3 linked regions of the Ovis aries genome follow. The main gene of each other region encodes a partner of the protein of the gene in region 3 in a complex. Links are inferred from orthologs where the notes say so. Each region holds a gene or a part of one and is shown on either strand. Other genes may lie near its edges. The genes, in order: DYDC1, DNAJB13 and ROPN1L.

Evidence for each region.
Region 1: ROPN1L (region 3) and DYDC1 share a complex: the UniProt entries of both Homo sapiens proteins name them as parts of the axonemal radial spoke complex. The link is inferred for Ovis aries from reciprocal best matches to the Homo sapiens genes ROPN1L and DYDC1.
Region 2: ROPN1L (region 3) and DNAJB13 share a complex: the UniProt entries of both Homo sapiens proteins name them as parts of the axonemal radial spoke complex. The link is inferred for Ovis aries from reciprocal best matches to the Homo sapiens genes ROPN1L and DNAJB13.

Annotation. Positions count from the first base shown.
Region 1 is NC_056078.1:34,793,861-34,798,185, forward strand, and holds the start of DYDC1 (DPY30 domain-containing protein 1), read right to left. Parts: upstream 2,895-4,325; 5' UTR 2,616-2,894; intron 2,583-2,615; exon of another isoform or gene 2,419-2,582; intron 1-2,418. UniProt on the Homo sapiens protein: Functions as part of axonemal radial spoke complexes that play an important part in the motility of sperm and cilia. Plays a crucial role during acrosome biogenesis.
Region 2 is NC_056068.1:52,112,792-52,116,438, forward strand, and holds part of DNAJB13 (dnaJ homolog subfamily B member 13), read left to right. Parts: intron 1-1,148; coding exon 1,149-1,252; intron 1,253-2,293; coding exon 2,294-2,455; intron 2,456-3,647. UniProt on the Homo sapiens protein: Functions as part of axonemal radial spoke complexes that play an important part in the motility of sperm and cilia.
Region 3 is NC_056069.1:62,909,227-62,912,873, forward strand, and holds part of ROPN1L (ropporin-1-like protein), read right to left. Parts: intron 3,384-3,647; coding exon 3,260-3,383; intron 2,124-3,259; coding exon 1,962-2,123; intron 1-1,961. UniProt on the Homo sapiens protein: Functions as part of axonemal radial spoke complexes that play an important part in the motility of sperm and cilia. Important for male fertility.

The sequences.
Region 1 (4,325 bases), on a different chromosome or scaffold from region 3:
CACCTAGCTGGCACTAGCATCTTACCCACACAGAGAGAAGAATGATTATAACTGAGTATGGAACACAGTATCCTAATTGTACTTCTTCAATGGGATAATGCTCTAAAGACAAAAATAACTACATTGTCATCTCAATTCCATCTGAAACACACTAGCAATTTCTAAAGGACTTCTCCCTGGTGGCCCGGGCAGTGAAGGATCTGACTGCAGTGCAGGAAATCTGGAACAGATTCCTGCTGCAGCTCCAGAAAGCGAACACAGGAGGAGACAACCCTGGTCTCCGAAAGGAGAAACCGCCCAAGGAGGACTGGTCTCCAACAGAAGCCGGCTGCATCTGCTCATCAACCGAACCCAGGTGAAACTCCTTACTTCCTTCGGCTTGCTTCCTCTCCAGGAAACAGCAAAAATACCCAGCCAGTTGTAAGGCATATTTTTCAGACACACCAACAGGCATCTTGGCTCAACATAAGAAAGCTCATTCCCACAGAAACAGCTGCCTTAAGCCTGGCGAGAATACACAGAAGAACTGTACAAAAAGATCTTCAAGACCCGGATAATCACGATGGTGTGATCACTCACCTAGAGACAGACATCCTGGAATGTGAAGTCAAGTGGGCCTTAGAAAGCATCACTACAAACAAAGCTAGTGGAGGTGATGGAATTCCAGTGGAGCTATTTCAAATCCTGAAAGATGATGCTGTGAAAGTGCTGCACTCAATATGCCAGCAAATTTGGAAAACTCAGCAGTGGCCACAGGACTGGAAGAGGTCAGTTTTCATTCCAGTCCCAAAGAAAGGCAATGCCAAACAATGCTCAAACTACTGCACAATTGCACTCATCTCATATGCTAGTAAAGTAATGCTCAAAATTCTCCAAGCCAGGCTTCAACAATATGTGAACCGTGAACTCCCTGATGTTCAAGCTGGTTTTAGAAAAGGCAGAGGAACCAGAGATCAAATTGCCAACATCTGCTGGATCATGGAAAAAGCAAGAGAGTTCCAGAAAAACATCTATTTCTGCTTTATTGACTATGCCAAAGCCTTTGACTGTGTGGATCACAATAAACTGTGGAAAATTCTGAGAGAGATGGGAATACCAGACCACCTAACCTGCCTCTTGAGAAATCTGTATGCAGGTCAGGAAGCAACAGTTAGAACTGGACATGAAACAACAGACTGGTTCCAAATAGGAAAAGGAGTGCATCAAGGCTGTATATTGTCACTCTGCTTATTTAACTTATATGCAGAGTACACCATGAGAAACGCTGGACTGGAAGAAACACAAGGTGGAATCAAGATTGCCAGGAGAAATATGAATACCCTCAGATATGCAGATGGCATCACCCTTATGGCAGAAAGTGAAGAGGGACTAAAAGCCTCTTGATGAAAGTGAAAGAGGAGAGTGAAAAAGTTGGCTTAAAGCTCAACATTCAGAAAACGAAGATCATGGGATCCAGTCCCATCACTTCATGAGAAATAGATGGGGAAACAGTGGAAACAATGGCTGACTTTATTTTTGGGGGCTCCAAAATCACTGCAGATGGTGACTGCAGCCATGAAATTAAAAGACGCTTACTCCTTGGAAGAAAAGTTATGACCAACCTCGATAGCATATTCAAAAGCAGAGGTGTTACTTTGCTGACTAAGGTCCGTCTAGTCAAGGCTATGGTTTTTCCTGTGGTCATGTATGGATGTGAGAGTTGGACTGTGAAGAAGGCTGAGCGCCGAAGAATTGATGCTTTTGAACTGTGGTGTTGGAGAAGACTCTTGAGAGTCCCTTGGACTGCAAGGAGCTCCAACCCTCCATCCTAAAGGAGATCAGTCCTGGGTGTTCTTTGGAAGGAATGATGCCAAAGCTGAAACTCCAGTACTTTGGCCACCTCATGCGAAGAGTTCATTCATTGGAAAAGACTCTGATGCTGGGAGGGATTGGGGGCAGGAGGAGAAGGGGACGACAGAGGATGAGATGGCTGGATGGCATCACTGACTCGATGGACGTGAGTCTGAGTGAACTCCAGGAGTTGGTGATGGACAGGGAAGCCTGGGGTGCTGCAATTCATGGGGTCGCAAAGAGTCGGACACGACTGAGCGACTGAACTGAACTGAACTGAACTGAAGCCTGGCGAAGCTGTCCAAAGAAACAGAGGTTCCTCGGTCATGCTTGGGAGAAAGCAGGCCGAGTGGGAGAGGAAGGGATCGGATACAGTGGCCAGTTAAATTTAAAATTTCAGATAAACAAGAAACGATTTTGTATTATACACTCTACTATACATGTACTAAACAGTAATTTCTTATGTCTCTGAAATTCAAATTTAACTGGGTACCCCGAATTTTACCGACCTGGATTCCGAGAGCTTCGGTAGCTTTTCTATTCCAGACCCGCCTCCCCTGCCCCTCCAAAAGGCGCGGCGCTGCTCACCAGTGAGGAGGAAGAGGAGTAGGACTCAGCCACAGAGCTGCCTCCCTGCGCTGAGCTATTCCTCTGTCGCACCACTGGCAGGGTCCAAGGGCCAAAGCTGCCTCTGCCGGCTGGAAACCAGCCCAGCACCGGAAGCTGTTCTTCCCAAAAGGCGCCTGCATTCTAGAGGCTGGCGCCTGACGCATGCGCCTACCTACCTGCAGATAGCGTCCCGTTGCTAGGCAATGAGCCCGCGCGCCCCTGGGCTGGAGACTGCCTGGGTCCGAGAGAGAAGAGTGCGTGCTGAGAGCTGAGCTGACTACGCTGGGCTGAGGTCAGAAGAGGCGCGGGCCGGGGCGTGAGCGATGGTGAGGGTTGGAGGCGGCGGCGGAGTAGATGCTGCAGAGAGGAGAAGCTGGAGGAGTGGAAGGTAGGATGCGCAGCTGAGAGGAGGCTGCGCCCAAGGTGTACAGGGTGCTGGATGGAGAGCCGGAAGCACCAGGGTACGTGAGCAGAGACAGGATGTGCAATCTAGAGGCTTTGAGGAGGGGCCAGCCAAAAAGGGGAATTGACCAAGCGAGACTGGCAAGCGCAGTGCACACGGAGAGAGCCAGGACAGAGGCTGACCGGGACGGGGCGGGGCGGGGCGGGGCAGGGGCGGGAGTGGATGTGCGCAAAGGCTACCGGTAGGTGAAGCCCGCACTGCTTAAGGCCAGAAAAGAGTGTAGCAATCTAACATCCTGGTATTTTCTCAGCCTAGCGCTTTCGCACCTGCTGGTGACTTCTGCTTGGATCCTGGCCACTGGGGGTGGGGATAGCACATCTAAGAGCTGTAAATTCAGTTTTACTTGGGGACTTAACTGAGGATTATAGCCCTGCAGACAGCCTCTCAGACAACTCTGAGAAACTGCTTCAGCATGGAAGAGGTGAGGGCAGAGGTCAGCGTATAGGAGATTTGGAGAACGGGTACCTGCAGTCAAACATATATCTAGGTAAAAGTCTACTGCTAGTTATCAAGCACACACAGTTTAATTATTTTATGGCTTTTCTAAGTATGTAAGATGCAAGAAATTGGGTTTGTAAATTTTTGTCCTGAAAGTTTCTGTCTGAAGGTCTATTCTGTCAGTTTTCCCAGAAAGTGGAGTATCTCATTCCTGATTTCCACCCTGAACTCTTTTCAGGCTGTGTTAGTGACCAGTTAACAACTGCTAATGACTCAGTCCTTGTGGAGCCAGCTGGCTGGAGACATTCTTTAGTTGGCACTACTTTCAGAGCGAGCCCGGGTGCCCCCACCTCCAGGAAGTCTTCCAACCTTTTTCATCTCCCCCACCATCTGCAGCCTTCCCTGGGCTAGTTGTTTCGCACAGTTCTTGGCTAGCATTTCCCATGTTTTGTTTCAGTTTATGTGGGGCAGTGCTGGGCACAAGATGCTTCACTAAATGTTGATTGAGATAATAAGTGCCAGCGGGAGCACTGACAGATGGAAGGCTCTTCAGCGTTTGGTCCTCAGTGTCTGCCACACTGCAGTAAGTGTGGCAAACTGGATAAACGATCTGCTCCAAACTTGGTGATCCCACCCCCTGGGAAGGGTAGTTGTACTGGGATTAAGGCAAAGGAGAGCTGTAACTGTGTATCACCTGGGGATTCTGTTAAAATGCAGACTCTCAATCTGTAAATCTGAGGTGGGACCTGAGAATCTGCATTTCAACAACTCCCAGGTGATGCAATGACCACACTTTGATGAGAAGGGGTGTAGAAAGTAGTTTACTTGGGTGCATTGGTTCAGGTGCATTAGTCACAGATTGGCAGAAGCAGCCACCAACACATCCCCATCCCCTCCCTTCACCACTACCCCAAACGTAGTGACTTTAAACACACATTTATTATCTTACAGTTTTTGAAGTTTGAGATCCAAGATGAATCTTACA
Region 2 (3,647 bases), on a different chromosome or scaffold from region 3:
CAGCGGGAGCACTGTGTGCTAAATACCAGCATCAAAGGCACTGGCGCTGCTGGAAAGGAAATCTAATCTAGAATGGAGGCTGCAGTCAGGGAAGGCATCCTTGAGGAGCGGACCCCTGAGTTGAATGTGGAAAGATGAATAAATATTTGCCAGGAGGAGATGAAGGGGGCTGGAGAGGGTTGATCATTCCGGGTAAAAGCAGGAGAGTATTGAAGGCATCAGCAGTGCAGCGTGCAGAGTGCAGAGCCTGGAGAGAAGAACCAGAGAGGCTGTGGCAGCAAGGAAGGGGAGTGAGTGAGAAGGGCGGAGTGAGAAGGAGGAGTCGAATCTTAGAGACATTCGGGTTTTACACTAAATTCAAAGGGCGGGGATTTCCTTGGTGGCCTAGTGATTAGGATTCAGCGCTTTCACTGCCATGGCCTGGGTTTAATCCCTGGTCTGTGCAGTATGGCCAAAAAAAATTTTTTTGAGTTTTTATGGGACTTCTCTAGTGGTCCAGTGGCTAAGACTCCACACTTCTAATGCAGGGGGCCCAGGTTTGATCCCTGGTCAGGGAACTAGATCCTACATGTTGCAACTGAGAGTTTGAAAGCATCATTTAAAAGATCTCAAATGCCGAAATGAAGATTAAAGATTTCTCATGCCAGTACAGCCAGATAAATATTTTAAAAAATGTTTTTGTTGTTTTAAAAAGAGAGAAACTCTGGAGCTGGATGAGATTTGAATCCTGACTCCTTGAAGGAAAAAAAAAAAAGACAAAGGAGGAACCAGTGAAGGGTTCAGGCAGAGAGTGACTTGGTCAGGGAGCATCTTAAAAGGGCGAGTTAACCAAAAAGAGAGAAATCAAACTGGTGGCAGCACACAGAATAAACTGGAGTCGGGGGCGGGTTGGGGTGGGGGGGACTGGAAATAGGAAGACATAGTTCTGCAATAGTTGTGGAAATGAAGAGGCAAAAAGAAAGCATTATCTAGAACGAAAAGCCAGTGTGAGTTTTCATTGGAACAGGGGTGTAAGGGTCAAAGGAAAACTTGGAGCCAAAGATACTCAGCTTTTCCACTTCAGGTTCTGTACAAATGGCAGGCAGCTGACAGCAGAGCCAGCTCTGAGCCTTGGACTGTGCCTCAAGGTATTAATCCTTCTTCTCTAGGTACCGGAAACTTGCCCTTAAGAACCACCCGCTGAGATCCATTGAGCCAGGTGCAGTGGAGACATTCAGGCAAATAGCAGAGGCCTACGATGTGCTGAGTGACCGTGAGTGACTGGGGCTGAGCGTGAGGGTGGCTCCTCTGCAAACCGCCCCCGCCTTCAATGTCATTCCTTCAATGTCATTGCTTACTCAGAAGAGTGTCAGGCTTTCTGAGGGGGCCCAATGGAGAGCAAGCATTCCTCTTCCCGGCCCAGAATCTAAGCAAAGTAGACACAAGCTAAGGTAGAGGACATGGTGTGGAGAGCCCCCAGATTAGGCTGACCTGCTTCCCGAGTCTCAGCAGTGCAGGGCCCGGGGCAGGGGCTCCCCAACACCGCCCAGGCCTCACCTGTCCCCTGCAGGGGTGCAAAGTGAGATCCTTGCTGCCCAGGGAAGAAGGCTAAGGCTGAGGCAGACATACCCAGTTATTCCCAGAGTGCCAAGAAGCCAAATCTCTCTCTCCCTGAGGACAGCATAAGTACCAAGGGACAGAGAGAGGTCTGTGATTGGGAAATCTCTCTCTGCTATGGCAACCTGAAGCCTGGGGAAAGAGATCCTCGCCTCTGTGGGGTGCAGTGCCCACGTGGGTTCCCTAAACACTGTCCTGGAGGCTGTGTGGATACTGTGCAGAAGAGTGGCCAGAAGATCACTAAAGTTTCCCCAGCCCCAGGTTTTCAGGACTTTGGATTTCCAAGCTCTAGAATTTGGCAGCTCTTGACTTCTTATATCCTACAGGCTCAAGGCACTAGGACTGTATTTACCCACATAAGACAGTAGCTGTAATGACTGAGTTAAACCAAACGCCAGCTCAATAGCCCGACCCTCAGTCTCCTGGTTTCTTCTCCAATCCCCAACCCTCCCCAGCAAGTTTTAGTTTTTCTCATCTCTCCTCTGGGCTATGGGGCCATACGTAGGTCCACCCAGGGTGAAATTAAATCCCTAACTTCTAGTGTCTCCCTCTAAAGACTTCCAGACCATGGCCACTTTAGAAATAAGTCTGTTTTCACCCTGCTTCTTCCACTCTGCCCCATATCCTCTGGCTTCCCAGCCCTCCAGCTCTCTTAGCCCCCATGCTGGCCCCTTGTCAAGGTGACGCATATCCACAGCTGTGAAAAGAGGCATCTATGACAAGTTTGGAGAGGAGGGTCTGAAGGGCGGAATTCCTCTGGAGTTTGGATCGCAGACCCCATGGACAACTGGTTACGTCTTCCATGGCAACCCAGAAAAGGTTTTCCATGAGTTCTTTGGAGGAGATAACCCCTTTAACGGTAAGAGGCCCTGCCTGCCCCTCTGCCTTACTAGGGAAGGATATAGCTGTAGAAGATGCTTTTCTTTGAGTAGTTTTGTTTACTTTAAGAAATATATATATAGTCATAAAATATATATATAGAGAGAGAGTCATCCATGCTCAGTCGCTAAGTCGTGTCCAACCATGACCCTGTGGACTGTAGCCCATCAGGCTTCTATGTCCACAGGATTTCCCAGGCAAGAATACTGGCATGGGTTGCCATTTCCTTCTCCAGGGGATCTTCCTGATCCAGGGATCAAACTCACACCTCCTGTTGTCTCCTGTATTGGCAGGTGGATTCTTTATCACTGCTGCTGCTGCTAAGTTGCTTCAGTCATGTCCGACTCTGTGCGACCCCATAGACAGCAGCCCACCAGGCTCCCCTGTCCCTGGGATTCTCCAGGCAAGAACACTGGAGTGGGTTGCCATTTCCTTCCCAAATGCATGAAAGTGAAAAGTGAAAGTGAAGACGTTCAGTTGTGTCCAACTCTTAGGGACCCCATAGACTGAAGCCTACCAGGCTCCTCCATCCATGGGATTTTCCAGGCAAGAGTACTGGAGTGGGGTGCCATTGCCTTCTCCACTTTATCACTGAGCCACCTGGAAAGCCCCATATATATATATATTTTAAAAACCCTATTTATTGAAAAAGAAATAAATTTCAGCCCTCCATTCCTTCCCCCAGAAGTAGCCACTCACTGTTACAGTTTATGTATCCTTCTAGAAATACTCTGTGCATTTATGAGTTTAGATTTATTTTCACACAGCCTTTCATCTTGTTAAGAAAATGGGACCACACTGTTTACACTGATTTTTTTCACTTTTATCTTAGAGATTCTCTTATTATACATTATATTACATACAGATCTACCTTATTTATTTTAATAGTTGCATATAAGATTCCATTGTACAGCACAGAGCTGGGCAGGGGTAGAAGAAGTTGAGGAAAGAGGAGTTTGGGGACATATTGGTGACCTCTCTAACTGGTTAGTGATTAACCCTGCCTCTCCCGGATCTCAGCTGCTGACTTTATAGGAACTTGAGTCTGAGATCTGTAGTGGTCTTGAGCTGGGCTGAATAGTGAGGAGAAATGAAGTCTGGGGGAGGGTAGGGAGGACTGTATGCTGTGACCCGTCTTCCACGGAAGCTAACACGTCATTTCTGGCTCTACC
Region 3 (3,647 bases):
CTGCCCTGGGGTTTTTTTGAGGGGGTGGGCAGGCCAGGATGGAGCAGGCATCCCAGGCTCTGAACTCTGCCTGGCAGAGGAGCAGGGGACTTTCACACCTGAACCCCCTCCCCAGGGTCAGCTCCCCGCAGAGAAATAAGAGAGAGTCAACGGCCCAGTCCGGGCCCAGGTGGCTTAGTCAGGGGCCAGTGCTGGATCCCCATGGGCTGATGGGCTGAGCGACACGTTCCGGGAAGGAAAGAGAAGTGAGTGTGCTCTTTCCCTGTCACCTGCCCAGGCTTCAGTCCGGAAGGGAAGCTCCATCCTTAACAAATGTCTCCATCTAGCGTCACGCCCCACATACAGCTATGAGGCCTCCTCTTGCAGAACACAGGCTGGTCTGGTTTGAAATCTAGCGCCCGATTCTCCTGATTTGGGAGGGCGCACTTACAAAGATGGATCCCCCAAAGATGAAATATTCTGCTTTCCCATCTTTATAAAAATCTAAGCCTCATAAACCAAGTTTAGAGGAATAAACCATCAAATCAAATATTAGTTATTCATTTTGTGTTATTAAAATCTCCCTTTCCTGGAGCTCCAGATGAACAAAGCCATATAAAATTTCTTCCAGTAACTAAATGCATCTTTGTCCTTCTCAGTGACACCCCACTGCAATTCTCCTCAGTGGCCTCGGAGCCCAGAGACAGGTGGCAACAGGGTCTGGGTTGTCCAGCCCAAGGCTGGCAGGAAACGCCACCTGTGGGCAGGGACACCACGAAAGGGAGCAGCCAGCCTGACTCCCGGCTTTTTTGGGGTTTCTGAGTTTCTCACTGGGGCCATGAACAGAGGTGGTAAAGTACGCGATACTCGCAGAGCGGGCACGGCACAGCAGAGGGAGGTGAATGAACCATAGCGTCTGTAGCCAGGCAGATGAACAAAGAGAAATCTAATTTGGAATCAAAGAAAAGTTCCAGAAGATTAGTAACAACATAAAGCTGAAACCAGCTAAAATTAAATCAAGTATTTCTTGGGGGTCCATAGGCGCTCAACAGGAAGCAGGAGCTCAGGGCAGCCGATGCTTGACGTGGAGGGCAGTGCGGGGATAGGATGGAAGGTTAGCTGCAGGCAGTTAGCTGTCAGTGGCCCTGTGAGGTAGTGTCAGACAAAGTACTGCTAGAGAGTTAAAACGGAATCAAGGAGGCTTGTGCAGGGACCCAAGATGAGGGTGCCCCATGAAGCAAGGACTAAGGATTAGCCAAGTATGTGCTCTGGGGTCCAAAGACTGAAGGGAGGGGGTTGCACACCTGGTCTCGGCAGTAAAAGGAGCTGGCTCTTTTCTCAGTCCTTTTGTTCACACACTGAAAGTGGACTTGACCCCTGGGTCTCATGCGGCGACTCAAATTCTAGAGCTGAAGACAGGCTCTTGACTTCCAGCCCCTCCCCACCACACCCACCGCCCTTCTCAGTTCACAGACTGGAGGAATGTCTGTGTCTTCAGTCCTAAACCTGTATGGGTTATACTTCTTAACATCAGCAAGGTATCTGCTTTAAGTTACTAATAATCGATTTTAACTGCTGTAGGTGACTAATAATTGATTTTAACTAAAATAGAAGATAATTTTATTTCTTTTTGCACAAGAGGGAAACCTATCAATTTGTCAAATGATGTATAGTTTAATAAAAGTCATTGATGCATTCTCTTCTAAACACTGAACACATTTTCATGGTATCTACATGTTTTATCTACTGTTAACATCTTTTACACTGAGGCACTCATAAGTATTTAACTTCTGTAAGTTAAATAACTACAAGCCTAAAATACAATAAGCATCTGAAAAAAACTGCCTAAGACAAAATGACTAAAATCATGAGCATTACTAAAGTGATGAGAGTGTTCTTACAGTTACTGAAACAGCTAAGTTATTTGGACAGCAGGCCTATGATCACTCAGAATTATTAACAGGCTATTTGTAGGTACGTACCCCACCAAGCATGCTGCATCCAAGTGCTAAAAATTTTATCCATTCGATTTTGTCTTCGCAAGGATCCAGCTGCAGGAGAGCTTTGAATTTTTCTATAGGCAGGCACAGATTTTTCCATTTCTGCTCAAGATCTGCTAAGTCCACATACTCCTTGTGGCTACACTATTTGGAAAGCACAGCATGACATAATCGATGTTAAGATGAGGACCTAAGAAATCACATAATGCTTGCAAAGACTTAAATAGAGTACCCATCCCCATTCAAAGATGAACTTCACCATTAGCCCACCACTAGGGGAGGGGAGCGGGGTGGGGGTGTATGTGTGTGTGTCGTGGGAGCTGGGCTACACGAGCAGGGAAGTGGGGGGCGGGTGGTACTGGGAACTAGACTGGCAACAAGTTACTTCTTGAGAGAAAAAAGGACTGTGAAGCGAACATGGCATAATGTTATGACTTAATGAAATGAGCACACGGACATGAGGAGCAACACTTCACAACACAAATAAACTTCCATAGACCAAATGAAATCCAACTCCACAACATGCTGACAGTTAAATAGGAGAAATTTTAACCCAGAAAATACATGTATTCCTTCTACTACTTTAAGACAACTTGATGAAAATGGGTGACTTCTGTGATCTGCTAGCAGTATTCTGCGTGGAAGAGCTTTGAGCAATTTTCGCGTGTCTTCCCCCAGACTACCTCTCTCAGTGGTTATTCGTTTTCCCTTAAGCGAGAAAGCCATGGGAGAATCCCGTGTATAGAAGTCAGCACCCTGGTCAGGAACACATAATGGGGACAAGCCACTTTAAAACTCAGGGCTCTACCACTGATCTGTTTTGGCAATAGAGCCCAATCATTCCGATAAAACACACTTTCTATGAACTCTCTAAGTGAGCCAGTGGGTCTCAAGGGCTTTCAGGAGGGCTGGAAACCAAATACCCCTTCAGATGAAGAAGGTGGCAGCTTATCATGTTTAGCATAGTTTTTATAAACTCATATTTCAAAAAGGATCTTGCAACCCCCAAGTCTGAAATTCCATATTTTCAAACCTTTCATTATAGTCCAATAGCCTCTTGCATCTTAATGCAAGTACTTAAAAAAACAAAGTGTATGTCTATATAATTGTGGACAGTGATCTTGGGTTCTTTAAACCAGAGGAAGGTCACTGAATTCAAGATTCCCTCCTTGATTAAATCTCAAAGGTTCCCTGAAGGGGGCACAGGGCTGTGGATGGATGACTGTGGAGGTCCTGCAGCTTTATCTCAAGCTCAGCTGACTGATCACAGACTCTGATACCTGCTTGTGCAAAACTTTAAGGAGTCCTTGAGTCAGGCCTGTGTCTGTTTTCTGAGTGGCCATGGGCATTTCGATTCTGTCCTTCACGGGCAGTGGATCTCCTCTTGACAAAGCCGAAAAATACCTGAAACAACAATAGACATCTCTGAAGCTTCATCGACACATGCTGTTGTTGTTCAATCGCTCAGTCGTGTCCGACTCTTTGCAACCCCACGAACTGTAGCCCTCCAGGCTCCTCTGTCTGCGGGATTCTCCAGGCAAGAAATACTGGGGTGGATTGCCACTTCCTTCTCCAGTGGATCTTCCCAACCCAGGGATTGAACCCACATCTCCTGCGTTGGCAGGCGGATTCATTGACACACAAGCAGCCCTCAAATTCAGGCACTTT